Linked DNA regions of Xenopus tropicalis. The main gene of each other region encodes a partner of the protein of the gene in region 3 in a complex. Links are inferred from orthologs where the notes say so. Each region holds a gene or a part of one and is shown on either strand. Other genes may lie near its edges. The genes, in order: pten, prkcz, pard3 and cdh5.

Evidence for each region.
Region 1: the proteins of pard3 (region 3) and pten are in contact, whole or in part, in an NMR structure (PDB 2K20), measured with the Rattus norvegicus proteins. The link is inferred for Xenopus tropicalis from reciprocal best matches to the Homo sapiens genes PARD3 and PTEN. Residues at the interface, in NP_112514.1 of Rattus norvegicus: Ala599, Gly600, Leu601, Gly602, Val603, Ser604, Val605, Lys606, Gly607, Asn608, Arg609, Ser610, Lys611, His614, Lys622, Ile625, Met659, Leu662, Arg663, Met666; in NP_113794.1 of Rattus norvegicus: Asp393, Glu394, Asp395, Ser398, Gln399, Ile400, Thr401, Lys402, Val403.
Region 2: pard3 (region 3) and prkcz share a complex: the UniProt entries of both Homo sapiens proteins name them as parts of the par polarity complex. The link is inferred for Xenopus tropicalis from reciprocal best matches to the Homo sapiens genes PARD3 and PRKCZ.
Region 4: the proteins of pard3 (region 3) and cdh5 are in contact, whole or in part, in an NMR structure (PDB 2KOH), measured with the Mus musculus proteins. The link is inferred for Xenopus tropicalis from reciprocal best matches to the Homo sapiens genes PARD3 and CDH5. Residues at the interface, in NP_296369.2 of Mus musculus: Ala599, Gly600, Leu601, Gly602, Val603, Ser604, Val605, Lys606, Gly607, Arg609, Lys611, Lys622, Ile625, Asn655, Gln656, Met659, Arg663, Met666; in NP_033998.2 of Mus musculus: Tyr774, Gly775, Asp777, Gln779, Glu780, Glu781, Leu782, Ile783, Ile784.

Annotation. Positions count from the first base shown.
Region 1 is NC_030683.2:12,942,658-12,949,741, forward strand, and holds part of pten (phosphatidylinositol 3,4,5-trisphosphate 3-phosphatase and dual-specificity protein phosphatase PTEN), read right to left. Parts: intron 2,628-7,084; coding exon 2,464-2,627; intron 1-2,463. UniProt on the Homo sapiens protein: Dual-specificity protein phosphatase, dephosphorylating tyrosine-, serine- and threonine-phosphorylated proteins.
Region 2 is NC_030683.2:91,510,324-91,518,009, reverse strand, and holds the start of prkcz (protein kinase C zeta type), read left to right. Parts: upstream 1-3,108; 5' UTR 3,109-3,468; intron 3,469-7,686. UniProt on the Homo sapiens protein: Calcium- and diacylglycerol-independent serine/threonine-protein kinase that functions in phosphatidylinositol 3-kinase (PI3K) pathway and mitogen-activated protein (MAP) kinase cascade, and is involved in NF-kappa-B activation, mitogenic signaling, cell proliferation, cell polarity, inflammatory response and maintenance of long-term potentiation (LTP).
Region 3 is NC_030682.2:21,707,176-21,714,692, reverse strand, and holds the start of pard3 (partitioning defective 3 homolog), read right to left. Parts: upstream 4,218-7,517; 5' UTR 4,029-4,217; coding exon 3,909-4,028; intron 1-3,908. UniProt on the Homo sapiens protein: Adapter protein involved in asymmetrical cell division and cell polarization processes. Seems to play a central role in the formation of epithelial tight junctions. Targets the phosphatase PTEN to cell junctions.
Region 4 is NC_030680.2:57,817,538-57,825,360, forward strand, and holds the start of cdh5 (cadherin-5), read left to right. Parts: upstream 1-2,998; 5' UTR 2,999-3,144; intron 3,145-7,823. UniProt on the Homo sapiens protein: Cadherins are calcium-dependent cell adhesion proteins. They preferentially interact with themselves in a homophilic manner in connecting cells; cadherins may thus contribute to the sorting of heterogeneous cell types.

The DNA.
Region 1 (7,084 bases), on a different chromosome or scaffold from region 3:
GTGTAGAGGACACGAGTCATCCAAGTAACGGTCATTTATAAGGAATATTTGCCTCTTGTAGGTGTGTGGGGAGTCACGAATGGCATTTGACCCCTTGCAAATTAGACCCTCTCCAGCACTACAGAATGGCTATTTCCATTGATACAATGGAACTGGTTTCTATGAACTACAAACATTACAGGCTCTAAAGTAAACACTGGATAGCTGTCACGAGGTCTGACTGACCACTGGTGGAACGCACAAGTACTTTAACACTTTGTAACCAACAGAGTCCATTGCCGATATCAAACAAAAAGCCAAAGAGATGTTTTAGTCAGCCAACTGCACATCAGGCATTTTGTCAACCACTGCCCCCAGTTGATGAACAGCGGAGGACAAACAACCCCCCCCCCCACATCTGTCATTACGGAGACTACTACTGAATGTGCCCTATTCAATGCACACAGAGCTGAAACAGATGGCCCTCTCTGCATGTCACTGCTTTACGTTTTTATCCTGTAGTATTTGGATTAATGACAGGTGGAGAGGGGCATTTTGTCTGCGCCTCTGTCTGTGGGCAGTGGGGGATAAAATGCCCCATGTGCCATAGGCCAAAGAGCACTGATAAGATGTCTGCTCTGCCAATTAATGCCTTTAGATTAGGGGATATTAATCGCCCATGATAAATCTCTACTACTGTGGGCGACTAATCTCCCCGAAAAGCTCTCCCACCAGCAATAAATGGAAAAGGCCTAAACCTCGAAGTTGCCTGCAGAAGGAAACACTGCGCCAGTGAAAATGCTTTTTGGGAGATTAGTTGCCCAAGGTACCAGAGATTGATGGTGGGCGACTGATCTCCCAGTGGTGCATTAGCCTTAGTTGCCTGAGATAGATCTCCGCAATGTATAAGCCTTTCCACTGGCGATTGGAAAGGCATTTTAGTCACCAGTGGTAGCAGATGACTAAATCACTCTGTAGGACATTAGCTTTAGTGTGGCTTTGGGCGATTTCTTAAACAAGCAATGAAATAAACAAACAATGAAAAGGCTATTTCGGTTGTATAATCTACAGCTGGTATAGAGAATGGTATATATAGTTAATGTGAGTTGAATAGATAGGTTGGTAAGACTGTCTATATGTGCACTGGGGTTCATTTGGAAGGGTTGAACTTGTTGGACTTTGGTCTTTTTTCAACCCAACTTAACTATATTATATATGTGTGTGTTTTTCTGAACAGGAGATTTTCAGAACTCCCACATGTTGCATTATTTGCCTTTTTTGACAAGTTTACAAAAGCAAAACGTCTTATTCCAATCCAAACCTTATTTCCGTGTAAGATAAACAAGGGCCTACTTGCCTGTGTAAATAAATTCCATCAGTTATACAAAAGCATAAATAGTGCGGTCAACATTTAGGGCGCTGTAGCACACAGCAGATTGACTAACAGTGGTTCCCAAGGAAACCAATGGCAAGAACAGAGGACTACTTATTAGAAAAGATAAAAAATGCCCTGTGACTGGGGGGTATAAAGACATTGGCTAGTGGCTGTGCTTAAATGCAGGAAGAGAAACAGCCCCCGCTGCAGCCTGAGAGTCGGCCCCGTGTGTGACTTGCTATCACAAGTAGCTGTGATTAAAGTACATGCCCCACAGCCCCAATGTTTAGTCTACAGTGCCACAAGTGTAAATGATCAACTGATAATCAATGCTGTCAGATAAAGGCTACTTTGTTGCAAAGGAAGAACAGTTTGCTTTATTTTTTATGATTCCTTTCTTCCTCAAACGATAAAAAAAAAACCTACAATATTCCACAGTGCCTTCACGCATGAGCCACCAATGGGAAGGCAAGGAGAGATGAAGCTGGCGTTCGTTCCCACAGGTCAGGGTTCAGCCTTAAACTAGTGTGTGGCTCTGTTTCACAGGGTGTACTTGCAAGTAGCTTGTGTGTAAATATTTAATTCAAGTGACAGAGCAGAGGTATGGCTGATAAGAGCCGGTCATTTATAGTTAATTACAGCTACACGTGATGCAAATAACGTCCCAGATGCAAACGTTCACATCGCCATACAGATTAAACAGGAATATTAGTCGGAATAAATGGACCAGACATTCTCTTTATGAGTGTGTGTGCACCACGTTTGTGCCAGGGCACCGTACCCAAAGCTGCCAGAGTCTTCAGGGGCAAGAAATCCAACGCCGTAAGGGTGAAGACACACTGAGCTACTAGTAGCAGCTACTTTTTCATGGCTACTAAACTCCAGAAAATCCCCTGCCATAGACAATACCGAGAACTGACCCTGCTAAAACACACGTAGAGACAATTATCAGTAAATAATCAGCATTGTCTATTTTAGTAGCCACGACAAGTAGCTGCTACTAGTAGCTCCGTGTCTCTTCACCCTAAATGGACACTTGTGCAGTTGTTGTGTAACCGTGTGTGAACATATTTATAACATTGCTTAGAAAAAAAATAAGCCACACTAACCTTTTTCATCACTTTGTTCTGTTTGTGGAAAAATTCTACCTTGATATCCCCGCAAACGGGCAAAGGCTGGGGGAAATCAAAATACATCAACTTCTCGATGCGCTTGGGACCTGCTGTTGAGGTGAAGATCTTGACTTTCAGCTGGTAAACGACAAACTGGGGATCTAGGAGAATACAGAGAGGTTGTTAGTTGGTCTGAAGGAAAGCAGGTTATTGAGAAAGAAAAGCCTGTTGTTCTAGGGTGAAGACACACAGATACTAGTAGCAGCTACAGATACAGACAATGCTGATCATTTACTGATAATTGTCTCTACGTGTGTTTTAGCAGAGGCAATTCTCAGTATTGTCTATGGCAGGGGATTTTCTGGCATTTAGTAGCCGTGACAAGTAGCTGCTACTAGTAACTCTGTGTGTCTTCCTTAATGTCACATCAGAGATCTGATGTCTGCACCATTGTATCATTTAAACCAGTGTTTTTCAACCTTTTTTGGGGAAAGGCACACTTGTTTCATGAAAAAAATCACGAGGCACACCACCATTAGAAAATGTTAAAAAATTTAACTCTGTGCCCAGCAGCAGTGCCCCCCTAGTACACTGGTGCCCAGCAGCAGTGCCCCCCTAGTACATTGGTGCCAAGAGCAGTGCCCCCCTGTTACATTGGTGCCCAGCAGCAGTGCCCCCCTAGTACATTGGTGCCAAGAGCAGTGCCCCTCTAGTACATTGGTGCCCAGCAGCAGTGCCCCCCTAGTACATTGGTGCCAAGAGCCAGCCCCCCTAGTACATTGGTGCCCAGCAGCAGTGCCCCCATAAGTCAGTGTGCCCCGTGGCCCCCCTTAATACATTGGTGCCCAGCAGCATTTTACTCTTCGGCGGCTTCAGCAGCATCTTCCCCTCACGCGCGCCGCCTCTGCACTTCTGCCTACACGCGACCGCACACAGGCCCTTTTATAACGTTGCGCCCCGTGCGTACTGACGTCACCCATACACACGGGGCGCAACCAATGACAGGGCTCGGATTTTTTTTAAAGTAAAAATTGCGGCCCTGCCTACGGCACACCAGGCAACATCTCGGAACAGCGGTTGAAAAACGCTGATTTAAAAGATGTGGTTTATTTGCTTATAATCATCCCTTGGAGTAGGGCCCCAGCCTCTATTCTTAGAGGTCTTGCAAGCATTTTCCCATGTTATAGTTTATAAAGAAAATGACATATACATATTTTGGCAATGCCCTATTAACTAGGACTATTGGGGAGGGGGGGGTTGTAGTTACTGGAATGAAACTCTGCTATACAAGCCCGGCTTCTTTGGCCCATGGTGATCAATGTTTTGCATTTCTAGCCTGTTCTTTGTTAGGCTTTAGTTGTCCATTATTAAAGGAATTTGTGTACTAGCCTTAGGCCACAACAGCCCATTAGCAATATTGATGCCCCCAGTAGCTTCCCATCTTCTTTTCTGCCGATGCCCTGGGCTGCCGCCATTTACCTCACTAACAATGTATAGTATACACACAATGTAAATTCACCATACAATGCTGAATTCACATTTGCAATATAGGGCAGTAAACAAACTAGTCCATTCTCTGGAATCCCATTATCTAGAAAGTTCTAAATTACAGAAAGTCTATGGGAGATGGCCTATTATAAGCAAATCATTCTAATTACTGAAAATTATTTCCTTTTTCTCTGTAATAAAACAGTACCTGTACTTGATCCCAAGATATAATTACCCCTTATTGGGGGCAGAACAGCCCTATTGGGTTTATTTCATGGTTAAATGATTCCCTTTTCTCTGTAATAATAAAACAGTACCTGTACTTGATCCCAACTAAGATATAATTACCCCTTATTGGGGGCAGAACAGCCCTATTGGGTTTATTTCATGGTTAAATGATTCCCTTTTCTCTGTAATAATAAAACAGTACCTGTACTTGATCCCAACTAAGATATAATTACCCCTTATTGGGGCAGAACAGCCCTATTGGGTTTATTTAATGGTTAAATGATTCCCTTTTCTCTGTAATAATAAAACAGTACCTGTACGTGATCCCAACTAAGATATAATTACCCCTTATTGGGGGCAGAACAGCCCTATTGGGTTTATTTAATGGTTAAATGATTCCCTTTTCTCTGTAATAATAAAACAGTATCTGTACTTGATCCCAACTAAGATATAATTACCCCTTATTGGGGCAGAACAGCCCTGCTGGGTTTATTTAATGGTTAAATGATTCCCTTTTCTCTGTAATAATAAAACAGTATCTGTACTTGATCCCAACTAAGATATAATTACCCCTTATTGGGGCAGAACAGCCCTATTGGGTTTATTTAATGGTTAAATGATTCCCTTTTCTCTGTAATAATAAAACAGTACCTGTACTTGATCCCAACTAAGATATAATTACCCCTTATTGGGGGCAGAACAGCCCTATTGGGTTTATTTCATGGTTAAATGATTCCCTTTTCTCTGTAATAATAAAACAGTACCTGTACTTGATCCCAACTAAGATATAATTACCCCTTATTGGGGCAGAACAGCCCTATTGGGTTTATTTCATGTTTAAATTATTTTTACCAGACATAAGGTATGGAGATTCAAATTACAGAAAGATCCCTTATCCGTAAAACCCAGGTCCCGAGCATTCTGGATAACAGGTGCCACAGTACCGACTACTATGACAGGGGTTGGATCAGGCTCATTACTTTTATAGAGCTGCCGACGTTCAGCTAGTTGGTTGCTAGGGTCTAGCTTATCTTAGCAACCAGCTAAGAATATGAATAATGACGGGGCTTTGATAGAAAGATAAGAAACAAAGTTAAAACAACATTGTAAGATCACAGACCAATAGCATTCTAGCTGCCGGGGTCACTGACTGCCATTTGAAAGTTCAATAGATGTAGAAGAGAGGAAGGCAAATAATTTAAAAAAGTAGAAAAAATAATACAGACCAAGTTTCTAGAAACAGAACATTTTATAACATATTAAAAGTTTACTTTAAACGGCGCAGGCATAAATGTGGCCTTAGACTAGAGAGACTGTCAGCTTTTGTTGGGGGAGGGGATTTTTTTCTCATTTATGTAGGAACAAAGTCCTGTTTGAATTCTACTACCGCATTGGAGATACTGTAGATATATATATATATGTGCATGGCTTGCATCTTGGCAGAAAATAAAAACTGTTTTTACTATAAAGGGGGGGTTACCAGATGCAAAGGGATCAGATGCCCGGGGAAAATAATTGATATTTACATAATTAAAGGGCCCTTGACACCCGGCTGAATGGATCAGGTTTTATTGCCTAGTTACCAAATAGAAAGAATAACTGTCCTTGTTTACAAGCGGGACAGGAAAATCTCACCCACCTGCTTCTCTGGCTACACAATCCTATGGCACCGCCGCAGCTCCAGCTACGCTGCACGGCTTCTGCCAGGGGTATCTATCTACAGGCATGTGTGCACTGCAGCTTGTCAGATACCGGCCCCCAGGCATCCCCGACACCCCGGCCACCAGGGGAAGGGACCCAGGCCCCCCCCAGCCACCAGGGGAAGGGACCCAGGCCCCCCCCCGGCCACCAGGGGAAGGGACCCAGGCCCCCCCCGGCCACCAGGGGAAGGGACCCAGGCCCCCCCCGGCCACCAGGGGAAGGGACCCAGGCCCCCCCCGGCCACCAGGGGAAGGGACCCAGGCCCCCCCCGGCCACCAGGGGAAGGGACCCAGGCCCCCCCCGGCCACCAGGGGAAGGGACCCAGGCCCCCCCCGGCCACCAGGGGAAGGGACCCAGGAACCCAGGCCCCCCTCGGCCACCAGGGGAAGGGACCCAGGCACCCAGGCCCCCCTCGGCCACCAGGGGAAGGGACCCAGGCACCCAGGCCCCCCTCGGCCACCAGGGGAAGGGACCCAGGCACCCAGGCCCCCCTCGGCCACCAGGGGAAGGGACCCAGGCACCCAGGCCCCCCTCGGCCACCAGGGGAAGGGACCCAGGCACCCAGGCCCCCCTCGGCCACCAGGGGAAGGGACCCAGGCACCCAGGCCCCCCTCGGCCACCAGGGGAAGGGACCCAGGCACCCAGGCCCCCCTCGGCCACCAGGGGAAGGCACCCAGGCCCCCCTCGGCCACCAGGGGAAGGCACCCAGGCCCCCCTCGGCCACCAGGGAAGGCACCCAGGCATGATAAAGTCTCACACAACTGGTGATTCAAGGGCCAAACACTACACAGAAAATAAGCAGAGCTGCTTTCTCTAGAGAAACTCTAGAAACTGCTCCATTTAGGTGACGATGGGCCTCCGCCCTTTAAATCAAAGGTGCAAAGACTGCACAGCAGATAACAAGGTTGCACCCTCTAATCAATTCACAGGTTAGCGTTTCCAGCCATGTGAAGTGGCAGCTTAGGTGTCAGTAAGGTGTAGATAGAAGCCCGGCGGTGTGGTTACTCAGGAAGGGTGGGTGTATGGAACTTACAGTGGAACAAAGGTAGCGCAAAACCACAGCAGCGAGTGCAGAGAGAATGCCCCGACTGCACGAGGGGTTTGTGGTATTCCGTTTATACAAAAGCAAAGAGAAAGACTGGTTCAGCTACTGCAGCAGTTATTCTAAAGTATAATCGGCACAGAAAGCAGATCAAATTGG
Region 2 (7,686 bases), on a different chromosome or scaffold from region 3:
CACTGTGCCTTATAATGTGTCTAGGCTTGCTTCCCGCCTTAGCTGTATAATTAATATAGGCACAGTGACCACTGAATATTTATTACATTTCCCATTTCTCCATCTGTCGAATGGGTACCACGGATTACTTATTTTTGTTTTAAACAGTGTTGTCATTTTTTTAGCAGTTAATTGCTGGATTTGGTTGCTGGATTTTTTTTATAGAAGCTGCTTTTCATAACAATAATTTTAACCTTCCACATTACAGCTCCTAGGCTCTGTCATATAAATTAAATAATTTTTTATTAGATTGAAGGTAGTGACGCGAGAATAGGAATGACAAGGAAAGGATGAAAGAAATACAAAAGCACAGAGAAGTTTGTATAAGAATTATAACACCTACATAATGCTCATTGAAGGACACAAGCAGAAGGAATAATTTTTGTGAAAAACCAGACAAAAATAGCAGAAAACCAGAAATTGTGTATCTCTTTTGAATTGTCTTGAAAACCAGTGCAATAAACACAGAGATAAGAAAGATTGACTAATGTCAAGTAAGTCAACTGTACTTTGAACACATTCTTTATATGAAATGGCATAATTCCCAGAATAATAAAACAATGATACATTACCTAAATATTTTTCCAATGTCAATAAAAAGTAAACTATGTTTTTATTGATTATATAAATAATTTGATGGACTATTGAGACTGTGCATCTGAATAGAAACTCATGTGGAAACAACTCTTGTAAAGAATAACCTTGGCAACATGATTTTTATTTATATTTCTCTCAGTTTTTCTGCAGCACCAGTTGTGTGCTTTTAATGGATACACCTTTGATCCATCTATTAAACTTAATTATTAATTGGTTATTGACTCTCATGCAACCATGACATCAAGGACTAGATTCTTTCCCATTGGAATCCTCACCTCTGGGTCCCAATATGGGAGAAGCCTTTTTTCAGAACTCCCATTGTGTCTCCTTGGGTAAAGCTGTGTGCCTTTTTGCCATAAGGCCCTAGAAGTAGATTGGATGGGTACAATGATAGAAAAGTGTCTGCTGTAAAAACACCCCTTTGGGACCTCACATTATATTCTGTGAGACTACTGGTAATTCAATTATTTTCAAATAATGAATAACGGTGAAAAGGGCAACTTTGGGTAAAACCAATCCGAGACAGGTACCTACAATTATGCTATGCTGCTATGTGCTAAACAGGCTAGGAGAAAAAGGTTCCCTAAACACAGGGGTCCCCAACCTTTCTTACTCGTGAGCCACAGTCAAATGTAAAAAGACTTGGAGAGCAACACAAGCATCATAAAAGTTCATGGAGGTGCCAAATAAGGGCTAATATTGGCTATTAGATAGCTTCTATGCACACTGTCAGCTTACAGGGGGCTTTATTTGGGAGTAAATCTTGTTTTTATTCAACCAAAACTTGCCACCAAGTCAGGAATTCAAAAATAACTACCTGGTTTGGGGGCACTGAGAGCAACATCCAAGGGGTTGGTGAGCAACATGTTGCTCACAAGCCACTGGTTGGGGATCACTGCCTAAACCTATACAAATGATCCACCATATTTTACTGTTGATACCCTGACATTCTGCAAGCAAAACATACCCAACATCAGGCAAAGTATGCAGTTATTGTGACCAATACACCAGGCTTTCACTCCTTGCATTACCCTCTGCATTAGTATCTCATCTATTGGCTTTGTAACTGGGCCACCTTGCCCATGTGGTGATGTCCCGGAGGGGAACTCGCGCTGACAAACACTGGAGGGGGGGGGGGGGGATGAGAGGCCTATCGGCCCCTACCATTGTGCAATAGGCAGGTGCCCCTACTTCGAGCCCTGCTTTATAGTGTGCCACAAAACTCACCTGAGCTTATGTACTAAACACTGGACAAATATTTATGTAGGCAGTAACACATAGCAATGCATCAGTGATTAGCTCTATCCAATAAAAATAATGTTTCCTCGGAGTGGTCACTAACCTGTTTCACCAAATTTTAATGTAGATGCGTAGATGACAAATCAATGCCACACAGGTAACTTGAAGAGTTATAAGACATATGGAAGCATATTTACTAAAGTGTAAATTTTCTTTAACTCTACCAAACTCAACCTCAATCCGGCATTTTTTCAAAACATTGCATATTAACTTGAATTTGAAAATGTTATTTGAATTTAGCACATTCAGAATAAATACCAGGCACAAGCACTTTCCTTCTCTATGGATTACTGGTTTTTTCCTGAACAATGTTATGCACTTTATTAATATTAATAATAAGGCTACTGCACTCTACACTATAACACCTTTAGAGCACTTACTTCCTCACAGATACTTTTCCATGTGAATCATACAGGAAAGATATACTAAGAACTGCCATTTACTATATCGAACGCTATAAGTTTTAGCATCATAATAGGCAATTAGGCATGGAAAGAACAGAATACCACAGAGACAAGTTTGGCCCTTTGTTAGGAGTCTAACCTCCAATATTTTGGTTATAGTTGGAACCATTTTATAATGTTGTTAATACTAGTGAGCAGCTGTTAAAACCTTTACACGCACACTTATCACGACGTTTAAGAAACGAAATTGAGTTTCGCAGAGCAACCTGCCAGCCAAGAGCATCTCAGTGACTATTTACAGCGTTTCCGTTCTTTTATTGTATAATTACTAATGGTCATGCATATTTTCACACTAGCGCTCCTTTTTGTACACGCCCAGGTAATGTTTTATTACAACAGGTGAATTCCACAATCAGCAATGCACTGTGACTCAACAATAAACGCGCACATTCCTTCAGAATAGTGACAGCTCCCTACAATCCATCCTGTTACTCAGTTACAGGTTTATAGCCTTGCTTCCCTTTCCCAGTGTATGACTGGCTGCAGGTGTAATCTCCTTTGTCCCTATTGGTTAATCCCTTGAGTCCTGCGGCAGGTAATTAACATTCGTCTTGCATTGGACAGCTAACCTTTGGCCGGCCTGTGTAATTGGACACTGTATTTTCAATACGAGCACGCGATTTGCTGGAGAGCTATCGGAGAGCTCTGCTATTGGCTGCCACTAACACCCAGTTTACTCCGCCATGTTTCGAGAGTCCGAAGTGCTTCGCAAGGAGAGACTCTTGAGTTTTAGCCGGGGAGTTGTTTGCCAGCGGCGCTGACAGGCAACTGTTTGGTAGCGCCAGGAATTTGGCAACTAAAGAGGCGGGTCAGTGTGCGCAGGTGTGAGGGGATGCTTGGAGTTGTTGCACTGTGACAGGGTTAGACGAGCTGGTACTTATTAACCCTCTCGTATCCGCTGTCCAGTGACGCCTCCTGTATCTCCTCCCTCTCGGCTCCGTAATGTTCGTCCTCCGATTCCGTGTTACACCGGGGGGTGGGGATATCGGCTGGAGTTACGGCCGGGAGTAGCTGATCGGGCTCAGTGGAGAAGCCGAGCTAAAAGGAAGTGTGTGTATCAGTATTGCAGGTAAGGGACAGGCTGACTCAGGTATTTTCTTTCTATACGTGTGTGTATCAAGTGTCCGGTGTCCTAGCTTCCTAGCTCCCATCATCATCATCATCATCATTATTTCTTTACTGTTTCTTTAAATAGAGATCACCTGGCTTCCTGTAGGGAGCTAAAATGACAGCACTGGTTGGGAGCTGCAGTTCAGCTTTTCCATCACCTGCTGAAGTTACCTAGTGATTGTTGAATTCCTGTAGAGGCCGGATTAGAGCTGCTGTAAAGCACTTTAGTACCAGTAACACTGCAATGATTGTGCCCCAGAGTGGTGACAACAGTTGTGAAGGGGAAGTTCTCATACTCACAATGAATATTTATTTCCCATATAATACAAGCTTTTTGTGACCAAGTTTCATGCTGAAAGCAATTCACCTCTGGGAAAGCTCATTCTGTGTTTATTATGGAGGCTGAAGAAGTTCACAGTAAAAGAGTAATGCAACAGATATTGTTGTCCTATGTCACTGTGAATGCTGTGTAACTGGTTAGGGTACTGATTAATAACTAGCTACTGATTGCTTAGTTACTCACATAGAGTGCCTCTATTTCCTTCCGCATCACACATTAGACAATTGGCAGGTTGCCTTTTACATTCTGAATGTGGTATAACAGTGTTTTTCAACCTTTTTTGGGCAAAGGCACACTTGTTTCATGAAAAAAATCACAAGGCACACCACCATTAGAAAATGTTAAAAAATTTAACTCTGTGCCCAGCAGCAGTGCCCCCCTAGTACATTGGTGCCCAGCAGCAGTGCCCCCTAGTACATTGGTGCCAAGAGCAGTGCCCCCCTAGTACATTGGTGCCCAGCAGCAGTGCCCCCCTAGTACATTGGTGCCAAGAGCAGTGCCCCCCTAGTACATTGGTACTACGGCACACCAGGAAACATCTCGCGGCACACTAGTGTGCCGCGGAACAGTGGTTGAAAAACGCTGTGGTATAAAAATGTATTTAATATAAACAGTTTAAGGTGATTTGCAAATTATGCAGAGACTGTTTTTATTCTAACAATATGTAAGTTGTTTGTTATTAAATATTAGATTATATTATTAATAATTATTTGGCTCTGGGTGTATGATTAAGGAAGATTTATACATGTATGCTTCACATATGATGTTATCCAAGCTCTTTTACATCTATGGATGGTTTAATGAGCCCTGTATGTTTTTAAAGTAAAGGTGGCCATACATGGACCGATTCTAGCTGCTGATATTGGTCCTTTAGACCGGCCTGTGTGTGGGCACAAATGACGGGTCTGCCTGACCAACATCTTGCATGAAATCGTCCAGATCTCATTCAGGCAGGTTTGATTTTTCAGTTGGATTGGGGACTGCATCAGCTTGTTAATCCGGTCCCCAAACCAACTGCGCATATACCCGCCAATCTAATTCGAATTAGCCCGATATCGCCCACCTGTAGGTAGGGATATCGGGAGAAGATCCGCTCAATTGGCAACCTCGCTAATCCGATCTGAATAATTATTTGCATATGAAAATTAGGCCATGCAGGGGCTAAAGAGAACTGTATTTGGTGAAAAATTTTCAACTTCTATGTTTGTGACAAAAAGTCACGTGATTTTAAGGATACAGATTAGGTTTGGCCAGACACGTGGATTTGGCTGGATCCAATTCCTGTTGAGGAAGTAGTGGGGGACACAGCCAAACGATTGCTCTGCGAGGAACGAAGGAGTTGGCCGGGAACGTACGGAGACACAAGGGAAGAGATGTAGTGAGGAGCAGAGGAATGGAGGGCTTTGAAGGTTAAGAGAAGGAGTTTGTAAGATATTATTTGTTTAATAGGAAGCCACAATAAGGGCTTTAGCAGGGGGAGGGCCTGAACTCTCCTGGATGAGAGGAGGTGAACTCTGGCAGCAGTATTTAATATAGACTGTAGGGGGCAGAGATTGGAGTTAGGGAGGCCGGTTAGTAGCTGTAGCTTTTTTGCTCCTTCCCAGCTTTCAAATGGAGGTAGAGACTCTAGCAGCCAAAATCCCCTTTGCTCTGTGGGGCCCACTCCTGTTTGTCTCTCAGTCTTTCTATTGCCTTATGGTTGCTAGCTTTCAATTTACTTTAGCAACACTACAGAAACATGTTGCTGCTTAAATTCTGAAGTGCTGCTAAACAAAAGCTAAATTAAAAAAAAAAGAAAAGCAATTGCAGATTGTAGTAGCCTACTGCTGTCTAACAGGCAGAACTAGAAGGTATAATTTAAGACCAATTAAAAAGTTGCTAAGAATAGGCTAATCTATAACCTACTAATTAAAAAATGATCTACTACTTTGAGTCTTATATACTAACATAGGAGCTAATTTGCCAAGAGCAGTCAATCAGGAATTAGATCTGATAAGTCTATTACAAGTTAAGCTAGTCGTTCATGTTTATACACAAGTTTTCAGCCCATGTATGGGGCCCCTGGAAGATCCTGCTTTGAAAATCCTGTTGGATGAGGATTGCATTTGAACACTGATGTGCTCCTCTTCCATCAGGTAAAGTCATGCAGCGGGGAGGGTACCTGCGGAATATGTTGGGATGGGGACGGAACATACCTGATGTCCCCAATGTGTGGATGGCCCACAACTACCCTATTAGCTGCACTGAGGTGGGCTACAGGGGACCATTTAAGTTGTGGGTTGGGTGGAATTGCATGTGGGAAAGAAAGCAGGTGTGGGTTGGGCTTAGGGTAAGCAGATATGGGTTGGGTGCTGGGACTGATGCAAATTCTTAATTTCCTGAGGAATTTACCACATAATGGTCCACCTGTAGACCTTCAGTTCTCTGTATGGTGACCGTGCTTTGCAAATGAACTTGGTCTGTAAATAATCTCCTATTTGCTAGTGTCTCCCATAAACACATGTGAGAGCAGACTTCAACCCTGAAGCACTTGCATCTAGCTTCCCTTGGTATCTTCTAGTAAACCGTAAATGTAGTAGGTGCAATGTGCTACATACCTTGGTCACAGTTTACAACTTGAGCATAGAATTGCTATAGCTCTGTGTCCAGGATATAAAATGGACCCACATAATAAAAGCCCCTTTTCAAAGTAAATTTTAAACCCCATTTTCTTATTGAAACATCTTTACTGGTACAGGTATGGGACCTGGGCTTTTCCGAATAAGGGATCTTTCCGTAATTTAGATCACCATAACTTCAGTCTGCTAAAAATCATTTAAATATTGAATAAACCCCATAGGCTGGTATTGACTCCAATAAGGATTTATTATATCTTAGTTGGGATCAAGTAGAAGGTTCTGTTTTATTATTACAGAGAAAAAGGAAATTATTTCTAAAAAATTTGAATTTTTTTCTTATAATGGAGTCTATGGGAGATGGTCTTTCCATAATTTGGAACTTTCTGGATAACGGGTTTCCGGATAATGGATCCCATACCTGTACCTGTTACAAATGTATTTAAAAATCCGTCTTTCAATCTTTTGTTGCCTTCCCTGCCTCTATGCCTCAGGTATAGCAATCACTTTCTATTTTACAGTTGCTAAATGTCACTGCACTCTTGACATTCCACTTCTCTGCTAACATCTATAATTGTGAAGCCTGTGACTTGACATGGACATCAGGTCTCCTATTCGGGGGCATACACAAGATTTTGGGATGATGCAAAGCTTGTTTTACTGACAATGTCCATAAAATGGCGCCTTCCTGCTTGCTGTGAATCCAGTGAATTCCAAGACTGAAGGGAAAATGTTTAAATAATTTATATGGTATAAGTAAAGTTAATTTTGCTTGACCACCAGCATAGTGAAACTTTTAGAATGATTTTTTAGGGTTAACAGTCCCATTGAACCTACTGATTTTTCTTCTTGATAAGCTGAAGGTTCCCTAAATGACTTATTGTGGCAGATATAGGTAGAACACCAGTAGTTTAGCATTGCAGTAAAGGTATGCTTTGAGCAATATAAGTTTTGCTTGACTCTATAAAAGGGAAATAACCTTTGTGCGGGCTGTTATGGTGTCCCTTTTTTCTAGTACATTTCTGCCGGAAGTCATTGAGATATTATTGATTTAGCAGATTTTGGGACATATTTTGTATTTCCGGAACTAAAAGGTACTTTTGTCTTTCTGGATTGGCTTTGTCAGTTTTTACAATGAGGGAACCCTGAAATATTTAAGGCCATAGGGACCCTTTACATGCATTGTCTCCATCTCTCTGTTAATATACAGTTTGTCTGATGG
Region 3 (7,517 bases):
ATTTAGAGGACAGAATCCATAAACATACAAAAATTCCTTCGCAAGCACAATCACATATGTAGTTGTTGTTTACCTTTACATGCACGTGACATTAGTGCATAGAAGTAAGGCCACTGATACAGCGAATTATTTAATAAACTATTTTAAAACATGAACAACCCAAATTCAAGTGTATTCTTTATGATGTTCCAAGGGTTACACTACACAAAGCAGCCCCAATGCATCTTTATCTGTAGAAGTGGGTATGATGTTTCAGTCCCTGCAGGAAGATCAGGGGAGAAAATGAGTGTATTGATCCTTTTAACGGCAATCAAAACCCTGCATGTGTCATAGCTTGGCTTATCCTATATACTGCATTCAAGTGGTTACAAACAGAAACTGTATATAACAAGAGTTGCATTAAGAGGGTATCCACACAAAGGACTGAGAAAGATTTTTTTAGATCAAGAACTTAGATTGTAAGCTCTACAGGGCAAGGACCACCTTCCAACTGTGTCTCATACCACAGGGCATTTAATGTCTCTCTATTTATACTTTTTTGTTGTATTTATTATGACACTTGTCCTCCCTGTGTGTAATTGTATATATTGTACAGCGCTGCTTATCCTTGTATCGCTTTATAAATAAAGTTATACATACATACAAATACTGAACAAAATCAGACCTCAGATGAGACAGGCAGCCAATGGTCCAGCTCCTGTGAGTGATAACTCTGTGACCCCCAGCTTCCTCTGCAGTGAAATGACAGGAAATATTTGGTTTAGGTTCAATTGGCCGAATATCACCAGGAATCTCTGGCTTCATCCAGATCCCCAGACAGAATCCTGGGTTCTGTTTGTTCCAGCTTGTTACGAATTTGGAAGCAATCACGCTGCGCCACAATCGGTCTACTTTATTTTCCCTCCACAACAGAAGTTTTCAAGGCTCAACAGACAATTCTGCCTCTCTGCCAGCTAAGCCGAAATGACTTCTTTCTGACCAGCAGCATTCCAACTCGGCCAAACATAAACAAAACAAGAAGTTGTCCAGTCCCGTGACCAATATTCAGTATGATAGGAACATAGTTTAAATCAGTGGGCTCATTCTTCTAGCTTGCCAAGTGACTACAATCTCATCCCACAACTTTAGAGCTACTTTGCCTTTTTTTTCACCATGCCACACATGCCCACAGCCAGGCCTCACCCATTAGAAACATCCTGACCATAATTATAATGAAGCCACATACACAAGAACGCTTTGACAGTGCTTGCCCTCCGCTTAGGTTTTTGCCGGCAAGTTGCCAGCCAATAAAATGAGTACTGGAGTACCAAAGAGAACTAGAGTGCATCTGCCACAAGTACACCCTATAATGTGAAATGTGAGCATGTTAACTTCCCAAAGTGCCAACTGCATGCTGATAATTGTAATAAACAGGGATTTAGTTCCATGAAAGCTTGGCAAATAGAAACCCCACACACATTACAATAGGCTGGACGTTTATATGAAATTCACACAAATGGGAAAACTATGGAGCCCAGACATGTATACAGGAAAATAGGGGCAAGGAGTTACAGAGCAGTGCCCATAGGCACGCATGTAACAAGGGGCAAAGAGTTACAGAGCGGTGCCCATAGGCACGCATGTAACAAAAGGCAAGGAGTTACAGAGCGGTGCCCATAGGCACGCATGTACCAAGGGGCAAAGAGTTACAGAGCGGTGCCCATAGGCACGCATGTAACAAGGGGCAAAGAGTTACAGAGCGGTGCCCGTAGGCACACATGTAACAAAAGGCAAGGAGTTACAGAGCGGTGCCCATAGGCACACATGTAACAAAAGGCAAGGAGTTACAGAGCGGTGCCCATAGACACACATGTACCAAGGGGCAAGGAGTTACAGAGCGGTGCCCATAGGCACGCATGTACCAAGGGGCAAGGAGTTAGAGCGATGCCCATAGGCACACATGTACCAAGGAGCAAGGAGTTACATAGCGGTGCCCATAGGCACACATGTACCAAGGGGCAGGGAGTTACAGAGCGGTGCCCATAGGCACACATGTACCAAGGGGCAGGGAGTTACAGAGCGGTGCCCATAGGCACGCATGTACCAAGGGGCAAGGAGTTACAGAGCGGTGCCCATAGGCACACATGTACCAAGGGGCAAGGAGTTACAGAGCGGTGCCCATAGGCACACATGTACCAAGGGGCAAGGAGTTACAGAGCGGTGCCCATAGGCACACATGTACCAAGGGGCAAGGAGATACAGAGCGGTGCCCATAGGCACACATGTACCAAGGAGTTACAGAGCAGTGCCCATAGACACACATGTACCAAGGGGCAAGGAGTTACAGAGCGGTGCCCATAGGCACACATGTACCAAGGAGTTACAGAGCAGTGCCCATAGACACACATGTACCAAGGGGCAAGGAGTTACAGAGCGGTGCCCATAGGCACACATGTACCAAGGAGTTACAGAGCGGTGCCCATAGGCACACATGTACCAAGGAGTTACAGAGCGGTGTCCATAGGCACACATGTAACAAGGGGCAAGGAGTTACAGAGCGGTGCCCATAGGCACACATGTACCAAGGAGTTACAGAGCGGTGCCCATAGGCACACATGTACCAAGGAGTTACAGAGCGGTGCCCATAGGCACACATGTACCAAGGGGCAAGGAGTTACAGAGCGGTGCCCATAGGCACACATGTACCAAGGGGCAAGGAGTTACAGAGCGGTGCCCATAGGCACACATGTACCAAGGAGTTACAGAGCGGTGCCCATAGGCACACATGTACCAAGGAGTTACAGAGCGGTGTCCATAGGCACACATGTACCAAGGAGTTACAGAGCGGTGCCCATAGGCACACATGTACCAAGGGGCAAGGAGTTACAGAGCGGTGCCCATAGGCACACATGTACCAAGGAGTTACAGAGCGGTGCCCATAGGCACACATGTACCAAGGAGTTACAGAGCGGTGCCCATAGGCACACATGTACCAAGGAGTTACAGAGCGGTGCCCATAGGCACACATGTACCAAGGAGTTACAGAGCGGTGCCCATAGGCACACATGTACCAAGGGGCAAGGAGTTACAGAGCGGTGCCCATAGGCACACATGTACCAAGGAGTTACAGAGCGGTGCCCATAGGCACACATGTACCAAGGAGTTACAGAGCGGTGCCCATAGGCACACATGTACGAAGGGGCAAGGAGTTACAGAGCGGTGCCCATAGGCACACATGTACCAAGGGGTTACAGAGCGGTGCCCATAGGCACACATGTACCAAGGGGTTACAGAGCGGTGCCCATAGGCACACATGTACCAAGGAGTTACAGAGCGGTGCCCATAGGCACACATGTACCAAGGAGTTACAGAGCGGTGCCCATAGGCACACATGTACCAAGGAGTTACAGAGCGGTGCCCATAGGCACACATGTACCAAGGAGTTACAGAGCGGTGCCCATAGGCACACATGTACGAAGGGGCAAGGAGTTACAGAGCGGTGCCCATAGGCACACATGTACCAAGGAGTTACAGAGCGGTGCCCATAGGCACACATGTACCAAGGAGTTACAGAGCGGTGCCCATAGGCACACATGTACCAATAAACACCCAGCCCACCCTTGCTCATGTTTAAAGGCAGTTGTGGGATTTCTACTGCAACAACTGGTTGGGTGTCTGAAGTTGCCCACAGTTCTGGGGGACACCCCCATTGAAGGACAAATAATGGGCTGCTCCAGTAAAAGGAATACCCCATTATGTGTCCTTGAAGGGGGGAGTCCCATTAAGCAATGCAGAACTTCAGGCTCCCAAGCAGTTGTTGTGTATAGGCGGTATCACCGCAATATATAGAACTAATAGTGTTCTGCTGGCCGAGCTCCCCTGCTTGCAGAGACAGGGCTCCCTAATAGATTTCCCACGGTTCCACCTACCTTAGCGATGGCCTTCTTGTACCTGGTCACCGCTTGCTGGATGAGGCTGGAAACTTTCAGGTTGCCGTCCCCGCAGGGCACCACGACCCGCGTCCTCCCAAAGCTCACCGTCACCTTCATCCTGCGCCAAAAACCCACCCCGGGGTCTTCCCGCGCCCCAGCCCAACGCAATTAATCCAGGGTTCCCGTGTTCCACTCCGTGCCCTCCGGTGTATGCAGGGCCTGCTACCGCCTCCTCCCTCTACACTGCATGTGAATGCCAGGCTCCTCCCACACTTCTCCGGCAAGCTTGTCTGACCGCCGCCAACACACCCAACCCCAGGTGAGAGCCAACGTGCTTTCACCAATCCGAGCGCTCCCGCTGCTGACAGACAGCCGGCTAAACCTATCGCATGTACGAACAAAGTGTTGTGTCCGGACACAACATTTTAAATCTATTTGTGATTGGTCAGTTCTATAGGGCTGCAGGACTGAGTTTAGTATTGAAAGGAGCAGTGCGGGGGCTAGTTATTGTGTGCTACAGATGTGACTTCGGGAGTCCGCGCTTTTATAGTATTGCTCATAAGGATGCCTCATACTTTGTAATGCGGCTCGGAGTCTGCGAACTGGCGGCCAAGCAGCTACCTAACCAAATATAGCCTATAGTTCAGCCTGTAGCCTAAACTTATTGTTCATTTACTGCCGTTTGTTATGTTTTCTTATCTCTTCACAGGCTGAAGAAATTAGTTGAGGCTACCTGGGGTAATGTTACACTTTTAATTCTCTGATGTATGTAGGGTTCCCCAAAATTTGGGTCCCCTAGGATGGTTGCCCCAGGATAGACCCCAGGGAGGGTAACACTTTAGTAGTGGGACACCTTGGGTGGTTTGGCACTATAAGGGTTAACTGGGATTTAGCTTCCCTGCAGTTCAGTAGTTAGGCCACAGGGTGCACACAGTATATAAGGCTGTGCAGCCATGTGCCTGCAGGTCTTATGCCTGGGACCCCTCTGGCTAGAGGATAGTGACAGGCTGGGTCTAGTGAGTTAGATGTGTGTCATAGACCATTCTAGGAGTGGTAGACAGGATTATTTAGCTGGGCAGCTTGGCCCCACCAGGAGGCAGATGAGATTAAGATCTCCCAGCATTGATAGCTGGAGTCAGGGATACAAGAGTGAGGAATAGGAGTTTGCCTAATCTGGGGGATAGCCGGGTGATATTTCCGGAGTGAGGTCTCCAAGGGGTGTCCGCTTGGCGGGAGTACCGGGAAGTGCCCTAGAGAGGGGCTTCTGGCGAGAAGTACCGGAGGGAACCCCAAAGGGAGGGTCATTTGGCTGGAGTGTTACCGGTATCCCAGGAGAGAGGGACTCCTGAGGGAAAGAGAAAGTATCCTGACATATCCTGTGTATCCTGTATGCCAAAGCTGTCTACCACTCTGCCAATAAACACAACACTTTGTTCAGCATTACATCAGTGTGTGTGTATCTCTCCTGGAGGATCCACCTGCCTGGTAAGCAACTACCCCAGGGAGGGGGCAAGGTGCCAGGAGTGCTGGGAGTCCCCACAAAGGAGCAGTATATTAAGTCTCAGGAGGGGAGTTATAGTTCAGTCTATCCCTATCCTGGGTGGAGGCACGCCAAAGTACAAAGTAATAGCTGTTCCCCAAAGTAAGCGGGGCTCAGGACTCCTGGAAGCGCCAAGTATAGTGACATATCAGCAGGTAGTGCCACAACTGTTTATAAAGTGGGCTACATGTATAAGAATGCAAGCAATACAGAATGTATTAAACAGTGACATTATGTTAAAGCTACTTGCTGATGTAATTGCTACTGAATGCCTATCAGCTGCTGAGTCGGACTCCTGACCAATGGAGCAGAAGCCAGCTGATTGGTACACCCTTCATGTGAACTGACTTTCAGGCTGGAGAGAGGTAAAACAAGAAAAAAAAGCACAATGAAAGTTAATGCAAGTCTCAGCAATTTTCCAATATATTTTCAGTGGCTTTAAAGGAACAGTAACACCAAAAAAATGGAAGTGTATAAAAGTAACTAAAATATAATGTGCTGCTGCCCTGCACTGGTAAAAGTTGTGTGTTTACTTCAGAAAGTCTACTATAATTTATATAAATAAGCTGCTGTGTAGCCATGGAGGCAGCCATTCAAAGGAGAAAAGGCACAGGCACATAGCAGATAACAAATAAAACACTATTGTATTTGACAGAACTTATCTGTTATCTGCTATGTAACCTGTGCCTTTTTTCCAGCTTGAATGGCTGCCCCCGTGGCTACACAGCAGCTTATTATATAAATTATAGTAGTGTTACTGTAGCAAACACACCAGTTTTACCAGTGCAGGGCAACAGTGCGTTATATTTTTATTACTTTAAAGCTCTTTCATTTTTTAGTGTTACTGTTCCTTTAAGCTAAAAGCAGTGTTTGCTTATCCCTTTCTGGTCTGTAAAAGAGTTTGGTTTTTCTCTAGGACTTATGAAAGGGGACGTATTGTGTTAAAACAAACACAAATGTACCAGTGTGTTAAACTTTGTTAAATGTAAAAGGAATGTGCTTAAAAAAACTTATGTTGTAGGCTGATTTATTGAAAATTTCATTCAAAAACCCTACAAGTCCCACCCATCTATTTCCGTGATCTGCCTCAATCGGGCACAGAGAATTTGCTTCTGCAATGATTCCAAAATTCTAGGGGAAAGTGGTGCATTGTGGGGAAAAACTTGATTGCGTTTAAAATTGCACTTTGTACCACTGCATCCAGCTAAGTGAACGCACCCTTGAGTGTTAGTTGTGTGAAGGTAACGCACTGTGCATGAAAATGCCCTTAGCACTGCATACATATCAAAGTCCGAATTTTAGATCTTTTTAAGTACAATTGGCAAAAATTTGTATTAATAACGAAAACTTCCGATGTGCGTTAATTTTGCGAAGATTCCATATCATGGTCGTACGAAAATATTGTGGTATGATCCAAAAGCTACAAAATTTTCGTGTCCGAACGATCGTAAACAGCGTGAAAACCTTTCCGACTTTGATCCTTCAGTGCATGATTTTAGAAGCCTCCCATAGGACACAATGGCACTCTGCAGCTCCAACCTGGCCCAAGGAAAGTCTCCCATAGGGCTCAATGGCACTCTGCAGCTCCAACCCGGCCCAAGGAAAGTCTCCCATAGGGCTCAATGGCACTCTGCAGCTCCAACCTGGCCCAAGGAAAGTCTCCCATAGGGCTCAATGGCACTCTGCAGCTCCAACCCGGCCCAAGGAAAGTCTCCCATATGGCTCAATGGCACTCTGCAGCTCCAACCCGGCCCAAGGAAAGTCTCCCATAGGGCTCAATGGCACTCTGCAGCTCCAACCCGGCCCAAGGAAAGTCTCCCATAGGGCTCAATGGCACTCTGCAGCTCCAACCCGGCCCAAGGAAAGCCTCCCATAGGGCTCAATGGCACTCTGCAGCTCCAACCCGGCCCAAGGAAAGTCTCCCATAGGGCTCAATGGCACTCTGCAGCTCCAACCCGGCCCAAGGAAAGTCTCCCATAGGGCTCAATGGCACTCTGCAGCTCCAACCCGGCCCAAGGAAAGTCTCCCATAGGGCTCAATGGCACTCTGCAGTTCCAACCCGGCCC
Region 4 (7,823 bases), on a different chromosome or scaffold from region 3:
TCGCACTGAACATCCAAATCCACATTATTAAAGTTCATAAATTGGCATAAACCAGTGGGGTATTCAGCTGCCATCTGAACCATCTGCATCCTAGGGCATAAACTGGGAGTTATGAGAAAATTATAGACACAGTTTTATACACTGTAAAATCCACTTTCATTCTTCATTTACCATAAATAGTCTTTGTAATAATGAACTAAGGATTTAGCTGAAGAATTACAAGTGGCAGTGACAGAGGTTTTCTGAGGATATAATCCATTATGTTTACTGTCAAGTCCCTCCTGCTGGATCTAAATGTACAAAGGCAGAGAGGAAAGAAGTGTCCTGTCTGCCTCAAACTGTGACCTACCTGATTTGGGTCAGCTCATGTGGAGGCTATTGCCAGTGGGGTACATCAAGCTAAGTCATTAAGATGTATCTGGGACAGCACAAACCTGCACGGCTGTAATAACTAACCTACAAAGCAAAGGTACTTACTAGCCTGCTAACATCTGTGCTATTTATACTATTTTTAGGGAGGAAGGCACATCTCTATATATTCATATAAATACATAAACATTATTGCACATATGGTGTTCTGAGAATCATTAAGCTTCTGGTAAACATGAAATTATCATTCCACAAAGCAGCCATTTAGACTGGCAGGCAAATGCTATACACTGCTTTATGTTTGATAGGTCTCAAAATTTGTTTTTAAGTCATGGCTTTCTCAGTTAAAAAGCAGCAGTATAATGTCATGTCTAACCCTAACCAGCCATGTTTCTGTCTTGAACCAGGGGTTGAAGCAGCAGCTACAGCCCAACTCAATATACTCCCAAAGACTGATTTACCTATGTACCAAAGTAGTTGTAGCTGCCTTGCTTGTATCCATAGCAAAACTGCATATAGCTTCCCCTAAAATTAGATGCTACATATAAACTTTTTAGCCCTCTGGAAACTTTCCTGTACAGAACACTTACTAATATTTGCAAAGCACATTTTTATTATTTTTCATTTTTATCTCACAAAACTAATTTGCTTTTATGCAAACATTTTTGTGGGCTTGTACTCTGTTGGCAACTTTAGAAGAAACTGTTAGTAGAACTAGCATTATTGCAGATGTTGGCTTTTATACATATATATATATACATACAGCAAAAGAAGGATTTGCGCACACAGGACTTATGAACACAAAAGGGATATATTTGGCACAAAGAAGACAAATGCCAAAGGGTAGCAAAAGCTATATTTACTTTTAAATGCATACATTGTAAATCATACTTCCCAAAATCTGTTTTAACAATTCACAAAATGAACATGTTTTCTAAATAATCCCACAGCCTGGGTGGATCAGTAAGTAGACTCAAAAATCACTCAGAGCAATACTCTACAGAAAATAGATTAAATCCTGCCAACTATCTAAAAACACTGTGGCCAAGGGGCCACATGTAATCCTTTGGGATTATAGATAAACAGAATATAGAGAAAGATAATATTTACACCATCATTATCAAAAAATCCCCCAAAAAATGTTTCTACTCCAATGGTGTGCATTTGCTCTTAAATCCATGCAAACAATTGCTCATACTCCTAAGTAGACCTGTACTAACAACTATTTTGGTCCATACTACAGGACCATATGTATACAGTATTGTTAGGGTTCCTGACCGCAGACTGTAAGTGTAGGGACATAAGGGAGCCCTCCTGCCAGGACAAAGACGTAATTACGGGAACAAGAAGGACACAACCACAATGGAAGTTCAAACTTGTTCAGTTTATTCTTACGTGCTCATAACTTTTATACCTTTGGTGTATGTGCAGATACAAAGGAATTTATTATAAAAAATAGAATAGGATCTCATTAGCTTCAAGGCTGCCATTCAAGGATGGCAGGTGCAGGACAGGAATTTAAGGAGGACAAAAAGATGCATCAGCGCACAGATAAGATTATGTTGTTTTTCAAACCGTATATTTCGCAAGGTGCAAGCCATGCAAGGGTACTATTTGGGAAAAACAACTATTATGGGATGTTCAAGCCTGCTGTTTGCAGTTACAAAATGGAGATACATTTCTAAAATGGAACCTGATATGCTAAGCATCAAAGTGTATCAAAGTTACCAAAGTACACGCATATATGAATATATGATTATATCGATAAGAGAAAATAAGATATCATATCAAACCTCACAAGTATGCTTGAAGAAACAATGTTCTTAAATAATTGTATCAAAAGTTCTGTACTGCCAGTTGTCCACGTAAGAGGTTAAGACCTGATGGTCATTTTAGTTATCCCATTTGATTGCTGATGTAATTGATTTCATAGGGTATGTTGTGTGACATCAGGGCAGATTCAGTTTAAAGAGGAAAATGTATCTCATTGTTTTTAATGTGAGAAATCATTAAAAAATCTATTGGTCTATTCAGGGTTTGAATTAGGGTTTTCCTACTGAAATTGAATATTTTTTATAATGTTTTATGCAATGTGTTTTTGCATGAGCAAAGTGTAAACTATAGGGGTCATTTATGAAAATCCCAGACAGAAGTACAAGAGCACTAAGGGGTATGTCCCTTAGTATTTTAGCAGAAAACACTGCCATCCAGGGTCTGGCTGCCCTGGCTGCAGAACACAGCTTTGGTAGGAGCAGGCCAGTCACGTTCTTTCTGCTGCCATAGGACAGGAGATAAGTCCCGATTTGTTCCACGTTGCTCCTTGCCTTCCACATAGTAAATTACCCTTTATACATTTAATTATTTTCTGTTCACTGGTGCCAAATTTCTTATATGACCCACCATTCAATACTCCAAAAATAATATGGCTGCCACAAAGGTTCTCCAGAATCTCCAAAGTGTTTCAATAGACAGGCAACAAAAGCAAACTTTAAAACTCTATTTGGCGTTCTAGTCTGCACAAGTTTATCTAGCTTCCTCCACTCACTACAAAAGTTTCAAGCAACAGCAATGTGTAGAACAATAAGAGGAAGGAAGTCTGTAGGGTGGGAGCTGTACTAATTCCAGAATTGGACATTCTGTTGTTAAACTCCTGCATTTATCCAACACCAGCCTGGTAATCCGTGTGTGATTTGGTATCCTGTGGATTATTACAGATTTTTTAAGTATTTGAAGTTTTACATTTTGTCAGCAAGGTCTCTCACAACTTTGACTTAGGTAAGTGAATTTCATCTTTCTTGTGGAATTTAACTAGAAGAGAACCAGTAAAGGTGTATTATGTTTTTAGAGCATTATAGAAAAAGGAAAGAATGAGTTTGTTGGGTATGTGGCAGAAACATATATTGAGTTTATGACAGACCTCTAGGTATACAAGGTTTACTTTTTTATCAGTCAAAATCTGATCTGACATAACAAGAACATATTCAAAACCTGTGCAAACCCAGTGCACTCATCATCATCATCATCTTCTTAATAATGCAACCAAACACAACTCAGTTAGATTTTTACCTAGTTCTTCTCATGAGTAGAAAGCTAGAATAGTCTAATATTTCAAGGTAAATGAGAATATTTTATATATGTCCCTTTATTAAAGTTTTACAAAATCCCAATCTTAACTATTAAATTCTACAAACAGCTATTACACATAGGTTAGTCAGGGCCTTATATACTGTACATCCTGCCTTTGTTTCAGTGGAAGAATAAGGCACAGGATGCTCTCAACACAGAAAATTCACTGGTGGGGGCTACCATTTCTATGGTGGATGCAGGTGCATTGTGGGCAAGTTACATTTAAAAACCTAATAAATCAAAACTACAATGGCCAGTTTGGGGTTTTAAAAACAATAAATGTTGTATTCTGAGAGATGTTTGTCCTAAAGTTTTTATTATGTAAAATGCATTCTGTCATTTGGCACGATCATTTCCACTGATGGCACAGTTTTGTTGATGCTTTCAAGTGAAGGTAAACCCTACTTGACAGTGTGACTAGTACATTTTATTCATTTATCACATATAGCAATGTTAATTAGCTTCTGATGAAACTGGCCCTGGTGATTTTAGATTGAAAGCCCCTATTGCAGCAGGAACTTATGTATGGTGATCTATCAAATGTTGCAGAATGTGTCAGTCATGTAAACAAAGGATAATTATAATAATACAAATAAATTACAATTTCTGTTTCCATTCCCTTTTACCACTTTTCCTCTCACTTCCAACCCCTCACAAAGCCTCTCTGATTTTCTTGAAAAGGTGAAACCATTAGGGATTCACACTTGTGACTATACAAACATAATGATGTGTCTGTCTAAGAATAAATATCACTTCAAGAGATTTGAGCTGGTCCTGTGGGGCCATTGTGGGAGCTAGTGACCTGGGCAACGATAAACCTTTGGCAAGTGTCAAAAACATATTTACTTGCTTATGAACTAGAATGCCCACAATGGTACCTAGAAGCATTGGGCAATTAAGAGAGTTCGGGCTCTTGGTTGTTCATACTGACCCATGCAGTTAACCCTACAAACGTCTACTAATGTCAGAAGGCACTACTATAGGCTAATAAATAATAAGCACTAGGTAAGGAAAAGTACTAGTGTTACACAGCACAGAAATCTAATAATAGCTGCCTGTATATAGTGTGCATACAACCCCAGCAAATAATAGGTAATGGAGGTTATGGCCCCAGGAGGGCCCCCTAAAAGCTTTTAATGAAATGCCCCACTGCACAGAACAGTCTACACACGGTACACCTGAAAGGTACATACATTGCATCCCACTTAAGCTTATGTGACATGGGAATATAAGATCTTCTACTTGTATCCAACAAGAAATAGATTGCCTTGTTTCCTCTAAGTGAATAACAGGCTACTGACCTTTCACAAAACACATGAATCTTGTGCTAACATGATTACATAAGGCCTTACAGATGAAGAGTGTGCCACACTGCTCTATGAGCCACATAAGGCTACTCCAGTTAATACGAGTTATATAGTAACATAGTAACATAGTAAGTTGGGTTGAAAAAAGACATACGTCCATCAAGTTCAACCATAATGCCTATATATAACCTGCCTAACTACTAGTTGATCCAGAGGAAGGCAAAAAACCCCATCTGAAGCCTCTCTAATTTGCCGCAGAGGGGAAAAAATTCCTTCCTGACTCCAAGATGGCAATCGGACCAGTCCCTGGATCAACTTGTACTGAGAGCTATCTCCCATAACCCTGTATTCCCTCACTTGCTATCCATCCAGCCCCTTCTTAAAGCTATATAATGTATTCGGGGAGGGAATTCCACAACTTCACAGCTCTCACTGTAAAAAATCCTTTCTGAATATTTAAATGGAACCTCCCTTCTTCTAAACGGAGTGGGTGCCCTCGTGTCCGTTGGAAGGACCTACTGGTAAATAAAGCATTAGAAAGGTTATTATATGATCCCCTTATATATTTATACATAGTTATCATGTCACCTCTTAAGCGCCTCTTCTCCAGTGTAAACAGACCCAACCTGGCCAGTCTTTCTTCATAACTGAGACTTTCCATACCCTTTACCAACTTAGTTGCCCTTCTATGGACCCTCTCTAACTCAATCATGTCCCGTTTGAGCACTGTGGGATCTCACCTTATCTAGCACTTGTGATTCTATGGGATCTATGGAACTGGGCTGATTGCAGTGGTGTTGGTAAAGGCACAATAAATGAGTGGAAATTGTAACACACACATAGGGTTTCTAGGATTTTGAAGACTTTTTTTAAGGCAAATTAGGAAATCTCCAGTGGCAAAGGTGACAATAAGATGAGCAAAATACAGTCAAGCCTATAAGAAAAGCAGCATGTGACCCTTTTACCATAAGTTGCTCAGATCTGTCTCGTGGTACGTCCAACATATTGACTGCCCTCGGTATTGGATAATTATTGGATAACCATTATGGATGGACCCCTTGATCATCATTATCATCATATTTGTTTATACAGTGGCAGCAAGTTACACAGCAGTTTACATTAATTTATAAGTGTTACACAATAAAAATAGTATCAGAGGGCCCTGCTTACTAAAGTTAACTTTTTAACAATAGCTTCTATGGATTTGTTTGGGCAGTCTTTATCAACAGTCGCATGTAAAGTTACCATCCACAGAAGATCAATATTGTAACTGCCATTGTTGTTGGCTTAAAATTGGTTAACCACTAGTGCTCCCTAACTTGTATATCTGAATAAAGTGTAAGTTAAGGGGCACTAACGACAGGCCTGCCCGACCGACATCTGGCCTGAAATCAGGCAGATCTCGATTGGATAGGTTTGATTTTTAGTCGGATAGGGGACTGCATCAGCTTGTTCTAATTCGATCCGTTGTTCTAATTCGATCGTTTGGCCCCAAGGACAAACAACAGAATTGGCCCAATAAACCCACCCGTAGGTGGGGATATCAGGAGAAGATCTGCTTGCTTGGCAACTTCGCCACGTGAGCGGCCACCTTTAGGGGTAGGGTAGGGGATGGCCAAGACAACTAACTGCCTCCCTCCTGCCCATCCCTGTTGATTACAGGCAGTAATGTATTCATGAGCTATGCATGCACTGTATTGTGGAATGGAAAGCCCTGTGGAAATTCAGACATTGGAGGGAAGAGCAAGGGGGCTTTTGTCTTTGTGATGCTGTCCAGATGGAAATTATGTTTTTATCAGAAGCCAAATTGTTATTTTTAGTAACAGGGGCACCAAAAAGTTGCATCTATGTGTGTTTTCTTTTCCAGATTCATATTTACAATGTAATTCAGAATTCAGATTTAATTACAAGTACAGTAAGAGGGTGGGTTTTTTCGTTTTGTTTTTTTTGTTAGTGATTGCATTACTTGGTTCGGTTATAAGATGATTCTTTTCAAGCTCCAGTTAAAATGACTCAATTTCTTTGCAATGTGAATATAATAGATTCAGAGTGGAGTGGTAAAGGTTTCAATGACGACAATATCTCTGGAATTTCCTCATTGTGTATAGAGAATGCTGCACGGTGCAAAAAATATGCTCAGTATACAACAAAAGAGCAGGAACTCTGTGGAAGCGCCATCATATCCTGTTTTTCTTCAAAAGGAAAGCAGGAAACTAAACTGTAGTTAACAAGAACTGGTGCTCTCGCCACTATCTATGCTGGTAAATGCTCAAAATCCCAATGTAGATATGTCATAACCATCTAACACATCTCATGCATATCTGTTAGTCGCATCTCCCTAAAATAGCCGTCTGTTAAAAATGGCAGCTGCGTGTGACATGGCTTGATCCTAACAGAAACCACAGTAAATAAGTAGATAAATGTTTCCCTTAACCCCTTTAAATTATGGCACTACATCCGGATTACAGAGGGTTCAGGGTGCATAGGCAATACAGCAGTGAGCCTAGGCTTGGGAATATTGTAAATAAGCTGCAGCACTCTACAAGGAACAGAAAGGGTATGACACTTTTTGTAAAGGATGTTTTAGTGTATTTCCTCTGCCCTTAGTGCTCTATCCCCAGTATACATGTTTCACTAAATGGGTATTGATTGATGATTCATGTAGGATTTATATAGGACCACTACAGTTCTGTTCACTTAGCAAGTATAGCAGGAGCTGTACAAATGTACTCCGAAATTCCTGAACTCCATCTGTGTATTTTGTCATCAGGGGAATGTAATAGCAGAAATACTTTAATTATTCAGCAAATTTCTTTTTTGTTTTTTTGTTTTTTTTTAAATCTTTCTCTATGAATAGTTATCAGGGATCAATAGAGATCCTCAGCCCCTATATTGATCCCCATCTATATGGTAGCCACGGCCCACTGCACAATAAAAAACACAATGGGTCATTTACATCTGCAAGTGCTTTTCCCTGCAGTGAGTTGCACCTAAAACCATTTGTGTCAATGTGCGCTGTTT